Macaca fascicularis: one gene and its partners. The main gene of each other region encodes a partner of the protein of the gene in region 3 in a complex. Links are inferred from orthologs where the notes say so. Each region holds a gene or a part of one and is shown on either strand. Other genes may lie near its edges. The genes, in order: SOS1, PLAAT3 and KRAS.

Region 1 (3,139 bases), on a different chromosome or scaffold from region 3:
AACTGTATCTTGACATATGCTAAAATTTACTTATCTGAGCCCTTAATAGTAAATCTGACATACTTTTAAATGGAGTTTTCATGAAAATTCTGGGTTTGGAAGAGACCCTAAAGGCTCAAAATAGCTATTTCTACCTACTTTTTTTGGCGGGGGGGCCAGCTGTTAACTTAACGCATTAGTTCTTAAGCTGTCCAGAGTGCAGAGCACCAGGGTAAGTCAAGACACTCTTTGTACAACTTCATGAATGTTAATATAGTTAATTTAAAATTATAAAATAGGCAATTTATGCTAAATTAGAAATGATCTTTGATTGATAAGCTAAGTCAGTAAGCAGTAGCAAACAACAAAATTTTGAGGAAAAAAATTTAAGTAAAAACTTTGGCAAACTTTTTTTTTCTATGAATTGGCAGAACCTTCCATTTAAAACACATGCCAGCCTTGGCAACAGAGCAAGACCTTGACTACAAAAAATGAAAAAATTAGCCAGCCATGGTGGTCCTTGCTGCTTGGGATGCTGAGGTCGGGGGATCACTTGAGCCCAGGAAGTTGAGGCTACAGTGAGCCATGATTGCACCACTGTACTCCAGTCTGGGCAATAGAGCAAGGCCTTGTCTCAAAAAAAATTTTTTTAATTACAAAGGAAACATACGGCAAAACTCCCTGTTCCACACTTAGCATCCTGCCAATAGCATGTTTGAAAACCCCAACTTAATTCTTATAGTCATGATACTTCATAAATTTATTAATAAATGTGTATTTTATTCTTCTTTTCATTTGTTAGATTATGTCTAAGCATTTGGACAGCCCCCCAGCCATTCCTCCTAGGCAACCCACATCAAAAGCCTATTCACCACGATATTCAATATCAGACCGGACCTCTATCTCAGACCCTCCTGAAAGCCCTCCCTTATTACCACCACGAGAACCTGTGAGGACACCTGATGTTTTCTCAAGCTCACCACTACATCTCCAACCTCCCCCTTTGGGCAAAAAAAGTGACCATGGCAATGCCTTCTTCCCAAACAGCCCATCCCCCTTTACACCACCTCCTCCTCAAACACCTTCTCCTCACGGCACAAGAAGGCATCTGCCATCACCACCATTGACACAAGAAGTGGACCTTCATTCCATTGCTGGGCCGCCTGTTCCTCCACGACAAAGCACTTCTCAACATATCCCTAAACTCCCTCCAAAAACTTACAAAAGGGAGCACACACACCCATCCATGCACAGAGATGGACCACCACTGTTGGAGAATGCCCATTCTTCTTGAGTTCCTCTGTACTGGGATGTATATTTTCCTGGCCCCAAATCCATTGCTGGCAATGGATGCACTGAACGTGCCAGCACTGAGGAGTTAAAATGAGAACTCCAAACACTAACGACTCTTCTTCAAGATGCAGTATAAGACAATGAATTTTAACCTAGATGTAATTATAACATGGAAATGGTATTCCAGTTTAGAATATGGAAAGACTGACCTAGAGGAATTGGACAACTGATTGCACCTGAAAATCATAAAGGGACTTTTTCTGGCCAATAGGCAGGAGTCCTCTTTTTGGGAAGTGTTTGTGAAGTGATCTTTTGTGAAGTGATCATTAAAGGGATGGAAAACACAGTCTAGTGTCCAGCAGGCCCACATGATGACAGGTTTTGTAATTCAAATTATGCACTTTTAAAAAAAAATGTAAACAGGGATCTTAATATCTTCCTTTGTTTTCCTTTGCTTTACTCTTCTACTTCAGAATATTTTCTTAAAAATCACTCAAAGGACTGTGAGGAAAGGCTGTGGTACCTGACCTTGTTGAAATCAAGGCCCGGCACTGTACTACAGTCCTGTTTACAGATTATTACGGTGAACTGAATGGGTACCGAGGCTTCACCAAAGAGGTACTTTTTTGTTGTTGTTGTTGTTTTAGGAATAATTATACCAATTTTAAGAGCATTCCCCACCTGTCCCCACACACCCAAACAAAATGTGGTGGTGTTGCCTTCAAAAAAGAAGTTTTGTGTCATTAACATGACAGAAGAACTTTTTAAAAAAACATAACTGTCAAGTATTCTATTTGCATTTAGGAGACTGTTAATCTATGCTAGATTGTCATTTTCCCTCCTTCTCCCACAAAAGTTTACTGGTAGTCCATGTCATGGCTCGTAGCTATCCCTCTAACCATACCATGGAAATGCAGACACCCAATGTGAAAAGGAGCACTTGCTGGGCATCACTGACACCGCTCATGTTTTACTCATAGTTGAGTAATCAGCATATCTAGAATTATCTTGCATTGCCTAAATCATATGTATATAGTGAATGTTATATAATATACCTGGCAGGTCTGTTTTAATTTAATTGAATAAAGATACAAATACTTTGTTTGGCTGGCATATATTAAATTATTATATGAAGAAAATGGTTGATTCTTATTTCTTTTAGTTGAAAAACACACAAAAACACTAAACATAAAAGCACGTTTTGTGGTACGCCTTGGTTTCTAGTTCTGGATATATGTATTAATCTTAAAGAATGATCTAAAGTCACAGCTTGGCATATAGGAAGATACTTGGTTAGAATAGGATGGGTATCTTTTAAGCAGAACTTTGTAAGTTTTAAGTTCCTAAGCAACATGTGTACAGTGTGTTAAGGTTTCTATTGAACATTCTACCTTGCTTGAGGTTTTCTGCTTTATCAAAACTATTCATGACAGAACATCTACCTGCATCATTACTATCATAATATGGATTATTCATAAAGCGTATGTACTGTTATTCTGAGTCTAACAAATACTGTGACTGAAATGCATGCACCTTGTTGAAGAGAAAACATTTTATTAATCTCCACTATAATGTCTGTGAAATGTGCAGTATTCCATCCTTAGAGAGTTATCTGGTTCATCAGCATCTGCATGTATCCTCTGAATAATGAAGCAACATTTCAGCAATTCTGTTAACCACGCTATTAAGAGACATTTGTAGAAGTGCTGCAACATGGTGGGAACCTAGTACTTTAATAATTTCCTATGATATTTATTAGAGCGCAAAATGTACATCACGATAGTACAGTATGTAGTCCTTTAAGACCAGAAGGTATGTTAACTGCACCGTCATTAAGCAGTCTATCCTATTTTCTTATTTATTTGTT
Region 2 (3,650 bases), on a different chromosome or scaffold from region 3:
AGGGGTCCCCAACCTCCAGGCCCCGGACTGGTACTGGTTAGGAACTGAGCTGCAGAGCAGGAGGTGAGTGGCGGGCAAGTGAGCGAAACTCATCTGTATTTACAGCTGCTCCCCATCGCTTGCATTACCGCCTGAGCTCCGCCTCCTGTCAGATCAGCAGCGGCATTAGATTCCCATAGGATCATGAACCCTACTATGAACTGCACACGCAAGGAATCTAGGTTGCACACTCCTTGTATTTATCTGTTTTCATACTGCTATAAAGAACTACCTGAGACTGAAAGGAGGTTTAATTGACTCACAATTCTGCATGGTTGGGGAGGCCTTGGGAAACTTACCATTATGGCAGAAGGTGAAGGGGAAGCAAGGCAGGTCTTACACGGTGTTGGGAGGCAGGGGAGTACCACACTTTTTTTTTTTTTTAGACAGAGTTTTGCTCTTGTTGCCCAGGCTGGAGTGCAATGGTACAATCTCAGCTCACTGCAAACTCCACCTCCCGGGTTCAAGTGATTCTCCTGTCTCAGCCTCCCGAGTAGCTGGGATTACAGGCACCTGCCACCACACCCGACTAATTTTTCTATTTTTAGTAGAGATGGATTTTCATCATATTGGTCAGGCTGGTCTTGAACTCTGGACCTCAGGAGATCCACCTGCCTCAGTCTCCCAAAGTGCTGGGATGACAGGCATGAGCCACCGCATCCGAAGTGCCACACTTTTAAACCATCAGATCTTGTGAGAACTCACTCATTATCATGAGAACAACATGAGGGAAATCTCGCTCATTATCATGAGAACAACATGAGGGAAATCTTGCTCATGATTCAATCACCTCCCACATAGTCCCTCCCCTGACATGTGGGGATTACAGTTCAACATGAGATTTGGGTGGGGATACAGAGCCAAACCATATCACTCCTTATGAGAATCTAATGCCTGATGATCTGTCACTGTCACACATCACCCCAGAAGGGACTGTCTAGTTGCAGGAAAACAAGCTCAGGGCTCCTACTGATTCTGCATTATGGTGAGTTGTATGATTATTTCGTTATATATTACAATGTAATAATAATAGAAATAAAGTGCACAATAAACGTCATGTGCTTGAATCATCCCCAAACCATCCCTCCCCCCTGCCTAGTCCATGGAAAAATTGTCTTCCACAAAACCTGCCCCTGATGCTAAAAAGGTTGGGGACCGCTGCTTTAGAGGGACCGAGGTGGTATCTGAGGAGGGAGCTCTGCTTTGATTTTTTTTATGCTGTGACTTTGTATGCAACACACTCAAACAAAAATTTTTTTTTGACAGAGTCTCACTCTGTTGCCCAGGCTGGAGTGCAGTGGCATGATCTCAGCTCACTGCAAGCTCTGCCTCCCGGGTTCACACCATTCTCCTGCCTCAGCCTCCTGAGTAGCTGGGACCACAGGTGCCTGGCACCACACCGGACTAATTTTTTGTATTTTTAGTAGAGATGGGGTTTCACTGTGTTAGGCAGGATGGTCTCGATCTCCTGACCTTGTGATCTACCCACCTTGGCCTCCCAAAGTGCTGGGATTCCAGGCGTGAGCCACCGCGCCCGGCCGCAACACACTCAACTCTTAAGCGTAAAGCTCCTGGGAAGAGTGCGGGTGTTTGGCAGAGAGACTGGTTATGAATCCAGTTTCCATTCTTCAGCCTTGGTTTCCTTTTTTGCAAACTGAGGATATGAATACTTAACTTGGAGAACTCTCGTGAGAACTCCTCACCCTTCTCTTAAGCCTTTAACTTAAACTGGGGTATAACATAAATATTGTAAAATGTACAAGCATAGTAAAGTATACAGTCAGTGAATTAAAAAAAAAAAAAATCCATCTATGTAACAATGTCCCAGATCAACAACTAGAACATTCCCACTGTGCCACTTACCCTGAAAGGTTCTCTCGTGCTTCTACAATATCCCCTCTGCACCCCTCGCCCAGGCAACCATCATTCTAGCTTTTCCTGCCGTAGATGAGGTTTGCCTGTTCTAGAACTTCATGGAAGAGGTATCACACGGCCCACACTCTTTTGTGTCTGGCTTCTTTTAGCAAACATCATGCCCATGTGAGTCATCCATGCTGCTGTGAGTAGCAGGAGATCTTTTTCACTGCTGTGTATTTTCCGTTATATGAATATGCCACAATTTAGCATCCATTTTTCTGACATCAGACTCATTGCAGGTTTTGACTGCTATGAATAGAACTGTTATAGACCCTCTTTTTTTTTTTTTTTTTTTTTTTTCTGAGGCGGAGTCTTGCTCTGTGGCCCAGGCTGGAGTGCAGTGGCATGATCTTGGCTCACTGCAACCTCTGCCTCCTGGGTTTAAGCGAGTCTCCTGCCTCAGCCTCTGGAGTAGCTGGGATTACAGGCGTGTGCCACCACGCCCAGCTAAGTTTTGTATTTTTAGTAGAGATGGTATTTCACCATGTTGGCCAGGCTGATCTCAAACTCCTGACCTTAAGTGATCTGCCCGCCTTAGCCTCCCAAAGTGCTGGGATTACAGGTGTGAGCCACCACGCCTGGCCTTCTGGAATGTTTTATTTTTATCTTTTTTTTTTTTTTGAGACAGAGTCTCGCTCTGTTGCCTAGGCTGGAGTGCAGTGGTGCAATCTGGACTCACTGCAACCTACACCTCCCAGGTTCAAGCGATTCTCTTGCCTCAGCCTCCTGAGTAGCTGGGATTATGGGCACACACCTTCCCCCAAGGCCCACAGCCACGCATCTGACCCTTCCACATGTTGCTTATCCTACGTGGATGGAGCCAAAGGCAGATACCCTGCTGGGGGCCATCTCTGAGCCTCTGTGGCCCTTCCCAGAACCAATCCGTTTCCTCTTTGTGGATCTGCAGGTGAGGTTGCAGGAGCGGGTGCAGCCAGTGTCATGTCTGCCCTGACTGACAAGGCCATCGTGAAGAAGGAATTGCTGTATGATGTGGCCGGGAGTGACAAGTACCAGGTCAACAACAAACATGATGACAAGTACTCACCGCTGCCCTATAGCAAAATCATCCAGCGGGCGGAGGAGCTGGTGGGGCAGGAGGTGCTCTACAAGCTGACCAGCGAGAACTGCGAGCACTTTGTGAACGAGCTGCGCTATGGAGTCGCCCGCAGTGACCAGGTGCGTCCTCCGCCCATGTGGCCTTTCCCAGGAACAAGACCATTCCCTCAGCTGACGGAGGCTGGGCATGGCTATGGAAGCATGAACAAGACAAAGTAGCAGAGACAGAATTACTGCCCTTAAGGATGTCACAGTTGGAGTGGGGACAAGGGTGGGGAAAGAGGCAAGTTGGCAGATCAGTGTAGTCGGGGCCGGGGGTGAGTGGCCAAGGAAGGGAGTCACAGACATGATATTCATTCCTGTTACCAAGCCCTCCCTAGCCACGTGTCCCTGAGATGGCCCTCCCAGCCCTAAAGGCAGGTTTTAGGACCCACTACCTTACAGATTGGGAAACTGAGCTTAAGTAACTTGTCTACAGCCATTCGTTTCATCAAAAAAATCTTTGTTGAGTCTCCAGACCTGGTACCTGTCTTTTCCTGTGCAGATAATTCGCAGAGCTGGGATTTGAAGCCCAGGTCTGTGTGGCATAGCCGGATCATGCTTCTAAACAGCACTGTCTTCAGCTTGGCTGAACCCTA
Region 3 (4,100 bases):
CGGATTTAAATTCAGCTTTATTGGTGGTTTATGATGTGGACTAGAGAAATGGAACTGAAAGTAGAGTCTCGGAGGAGGGGCGATCCTATCACACACAGGCGTTGGTTTTCCACCCCTCAATCCTCAAGTCCCTCCCAACGTACCTTTCTAGGTAGTTTATCAACACAGACTCCGGGTATGCTAGCATGTTTAATTGCCCCATTGTTTAATATCTTAACTCTACAAACGTTAACTGATTAATCTGTCTTCTAATTAATGTTTGAATGACTCTCCTCAGGTCTAAACTAGCGAGGGCACCTCTACTTAACAACAGTTGTCTTTTGTTTGTGATTTCAGGGGCCATGGGTATATGCGAAGTCCCTGTTTAGAGACCTTGTGATGGGGTTCAAAATATCAAGAAAGATAGCAAAATATCACAAACCTCCTACCCGAGATTAGCGCTGAAAGGGTCTGTCGCGTTTGTTTGGGCCTGGGGCTAAATTCGCAGCCCGAGTGCTGAGGCTGATAATAATCGGGGCGGCGATCGGAAAGCCCTGGTGTGGGAAATCGTCCGCCGGGTCTCCCTAAGTACCCGAAGTCGCCTCCCACTTTTGGTGACTGCTTGTTTATTTACATGCAGTCAATGATAGTAAATGGATGCGCGCCAGTATAGGCCGACCCCGAGGGCGGCGGGGCGCTCTTCGCAGCTTCTCTGTGGAGACCGGTCAGCCGGGCCGCTCGTGGCGTGGCCGCTCGCGGCGTCTCCCCGATGGCGTCCGCACAGCCCTCCGCGGTCGGGTCCCGCTCAGGGTCAGAATCCGCGGCTGCGGGGACCGCCTTGCGGCGAGGCAGGGGGCGGGCCGCCGCGTGGGTCCGGCAGTCCCTCCTCCCGCCAAGGCGCCGCCCAGACCCGCTCTCCAGCCGGCCCGGCTCCCCACCCTAGACCGCCCCAGCCACCCCTTCCTCCGCCGGCCCGGCCCCCGCTCCTCCCCCGCGGGCCCGGCCCGGCCCCCTCCTTCTCCCCGCCGGCGCTCGCGGCCTCCCCCTCTTCCCTCTTCCCACACCGCCCTCAGCCGCTCCCTCTCGTACGCCCGTCTGAAGAGGAATCGAGCGCGGAACGCATCGATAGCTCTGCCCTCTGCGGCCGCCCGGCCCCGAACTCATCGGTGTGCTCGGAGCTCGATTTTCCTAGGCGGCGGCCGCGGCGGCGGAGGCAGCAGCGGCGGCGGCAGTGGCGGCGGCGACGGTGGCGGCGGCTCGGCCAGTACTCCCGGCCCCCGCCATTTCGGACTGGGAGCGAGCGCGGCGCAGGCACTGAAGGCGGCGGCGGGGCCAGAGGCTCAGCGGCTCCCAGGTGCGGGAGAGAGGTACGAGGCGGACCACCCCTCCTGGGCCCCTGCCCGGGTCCCGACCCTCTTTGCCGGCGCCGGGCGGGGCCGGCGGCGAGTGAATGAATTAGGGGTCCCGGGAGGGGCGGGCGGGGGGCGCGGGCGCGGGGCCGGGGCGGGCGGGGTGAGGGGGCTCTGCAAGGGGAGGCGCGCGGACGCGGCGGCGCGGGGAGTGAGGAATGGGCGGTGCGGGGCTGAGGAGGGTGAGGCTGGAGGCGGTCGGCGCTTGTGCTGCTTCCTGGACGGGGAACCCCTTCCTTCCTCCTCCCCGAGAGCCGCGGCTGGAGGCTGCTGGGGAGAAACTCGGGCCGGGCCGGCTGCCCCTCGGGGCGGTGGGGTGCGGTGGAGGTTACTCCCGCTGCGCCCCGGCCTCCCCTCCCCCTCTCCCTGCTCCCGCACCTTTTGCCTCCCTTCCCAGCACTCGGCTGCCTCGGTCCAGCCTTCCCTGCTGCATTTGGCATCTCTAGGACGAAGGTATAAACTTCTCCCTCGAGCGCAGGATGGACGGGATAGTGGTCCTTTTCCGTGTGTAGGGGATGTGTGAGTAAGAGGCGAGGTCACGTTTTGGAAGAGCGTAGGAAAGTGCTTAGAGACCACTGTTGGAGGTTATTGTGTTTGGAAAAAAATGCATCTGCCTCCGAGTTCCTGACTGCTCCCCTCCCCCATGTATGGGCTGTGACATTGCTGTGGCCACAAAGGAGGAGGTGGAGGTAGAGATGGTGGAAGAACAGGTGGCCAACACCCTACACGTAGAACCTGTGACCTACAGTGAAAAGGAAAAAGTTAATCCCAGAAGGTCTGTTTTGCTTGGTCAAGTTAAACCCCGAAGAAAACCCGCAGAGCAGAAGCAAGGCTTTTTTCTTGCTAGTTGAGTGTAGACAGCAATAGCAAAAATAGTACTTGAAGTTTAATTTACCTGTTCTTGTCCTTCCCCTTATTTCTTATGTATTACTCTCATCCCTTATTTCTTCTATAATATCCTCATTTTGCAGATGTGTTCTACATCTCACGAGTTATTACAGTACTCCAAAAGAGCACTTAACGTGATTTTTTTTTACATGATTTTTTAAACTTACAGAGGAATTGTAGCAATCCACCAGCTAACCGCCTGAAATAGACTTAAACATGTGCATCTCCTTTTTTATTTTTTATTTTTTTGAGATGGAGCCTCGCTCTGTCGCCCAGGCTGGAGTGCAATGGCGTGGTCTCGGCTCACTGAAACCTCTGCCTCCAGGGTTCAAGCGATTCTCCTGCCTCAGCCTCCTGAGTGGCTGGGACTACAGGCGCCCGCCACCGTGCCCAACTAATTTTTGTATTTTTAGTTGAGAAGGGGTTTCACCATGTTGGCCAGGATGGTCTCCATCTGCTCTGTTGCCCAGGCTGGAGTGCAGTGGCGCCGTCTCGGCTCACTGCCACCTTCGCCTCCTGGGTTCAAGCAATCCTCCTGCTTCAGCCTCCCGAATAACTGGGTTTATAGGTGTCTGCCACCATGCCCGGCTAATTTTTTGTATTTTTCATAGAGACAGGGGTGTCACCATATTGTCCAGGCTGGTCTCGAACTCCTGACCTTGTGATCCGCCCACCTCGGCCTCCCAAAGTGCCTTATGCATCTTCTAGCTGAAGTCTAAGCCTTCTTAAATCTTGAGCTCTATCAAAACAGAAAGGTTTTCTAATTGTTATACAATATATACGTTATGTTTATAATAGCATTTAAAAACTAAGTGATAAAGGGGAAAGGTCTATTTGTAATTATCAGCTCAGAATTAACCATATAACTGGTGTCACTGAAGTGACTAAGGTCCAAAATGCTGACTCCTACATGTGATAGACTACAGATATCAAATATGGTTGCTAACATTAGTTTACTTTGAGACTGTAGCCATACACAGTGTACTTGCTTTTAAGAGATGGTGGATGGTAATTCCGTTTTATGACAAATAAAAATGAATTTTCTTCCATAACAAAATTGTTGGATTTGAGTCCAGTCCACTCCTTATTAGCTTTTCTAACTGTGAGTAAGGGAGCTCCTCCCAGCCCATGATCTTCATTTGATAAGACTACTTTGGAGCCCAGTTCTCTCTAGTGGATTTAAATGTGACTTGGTTTTAAAAATCTCATTCAAAGAATTTTTTTTTTTTTCCTGGAAACAACCACCGCATAAACAAGTAAACCAGAAGATATATGTGGCTGTGAATTCGTACATATACACAAACTCTAATCCAGTGTCTGTCCACAGTATTTACTAGGCTGGTAAACTTTTTGGCCTTAAGGACCCCTCTACGCTCTTTCTTTTTTTTGAGAGAGTGAGTCTCACTCTGTCACCCAGGCCAGAATGCAGTGGCGCTATCTCGGCTCACTACCACCTCCGACTCCCAGGCTCAAGCGATTCTCCCGCCTCAGCCTCCCGTGTAGCCGGGATTACAGGCTCCCGTCACCGGGCTAATTTTTGTGTTTTTAGATACGGGATTTCACCATGTTGGCCAGGCTGGTCTCGGCCTCCTGACCTCAGGTGATCCGCCCGCCTAAACCTGCCAAAGTGTTGGGATTACAGGCGTGAGCCGCCATACCGGGCCTACACTCTTAGAAATTATTATTGAAGGGGCCGGGCAAATTGGCTCTTGCTTGTAATCCCTGAGGCAAGAGGATCGCTTGAGGCCAGGAGTTGGAGACCAGCGTGCTCAACGTAGTGAGACCTTGTTATAAAGAAAAAAAAATTGAGAATTAAAAAAACCT

What was found.
Region 1: the proteins of KRAS (region 3) and SOS1 are in contact, whole or in part, in a crystal structure (PDB 8BE4), measured with the Homo sapiens proteins. The link is inferred for Macaca fascicularis from reciprocal best matches to the Homo sapiens genes KRAS and SOS1. Residues at the interface, in NP_001356715.1 of Homo sapiens: Ser17, Ala18, Ile21, Gln25, Asp30, Glu31, Tyr32, Pro34, Thr35, Glu37, Tyr40, Asp54, Ile55, Leu56, Asp57, Thr58, Ala59, Gly60, Gln61, Glu63, Tyr64, Ser65, Ala66, Met67, Arg68, Asp69, Gln70, Tyr71, Arg73, His95; in NP_005624.2 of Homo sapiens: Lys602, Trp809, Thr810, Lys814, Leu822, Met824, Ile825, Arg826, Thr828, Thr829, Thr832, Leu833, Leu872, Val875, Ser876, Asn879, Ser880, Ser881, Pro882, Tyr884, Ser908, Asp910, His911, Tyr912, Lys913, Phe929, Phe930, Gly931, Ile932, Leu934.
Region 2: the proteins of KRAS (region 3) and PLAAT3 are in contact, whole or in part, in a crystal structure (PDB 7C41), measured with the Homo sapiens proteins. The link is inferred for Macaca fascicularis from reciprocal best matches to the Homo sapiens genes KRAS and PLAAT3. Residues at the interface, in NP_001356715.1 of Homo sapiens: Ala11, Gly13, Lys16, Ser17, Tyr32, Asp33, Pro34, Thr35, Ile36, Thr58, Ala59, Gly60, Gln61, Asn85, Asn86, Lys88, Asp92, Tyr96, Lys117; in NP_001121675.1 of Homo sapiens: Leu65, Tyr66, Asp67, Val68, Ala69, Gly70, Ser71, Asp72, Lys73, Tyr74.

What each region holds. Positions count from the first base shown.
Region 1 is NC_088387.1:83,183,375-83,186,513, forward strand, and holds part of SOS1 (son of sevenless homolog 1), read left to right. Parts: intron 1-781; coding exon 782-1,273; 3' UTR 1,274-3,139.
Region 2 is NC_088388.1:10,818,161-10,821,810, forward strand, and holds part of PLAAT3 (phospholipase A and acyltransferase 3), read left to right. Parts: intron 1-2,863; coding exon 2,864-3,132; intron 3,133-3,650. UniProt on the Homo sapiens protein: Exhibits both phospholipase A1/2 and acyltransferase activities. Shows phospholipase A1 (PLA1) and A2 (PLA2) activity, catalyzing the calcium-independent release of fatty acids from the sn-1 or sn-2 position of glycerophospholipids.
Region 3 is NC_088385.1:27,972,579-27,976,678, reverse strand, and holds the start of KRAS (GTPase KRas), read left to right. Parts: upstream 1-1,167; 5' UTR 1,168-1,346; intron 1,347-4,100. UniProt on the Homo sapiens protein: Ras proteins bind GDP/GTP and possess intrinsic GTPase activity. Plays an important role in the regulation of cell proliferation.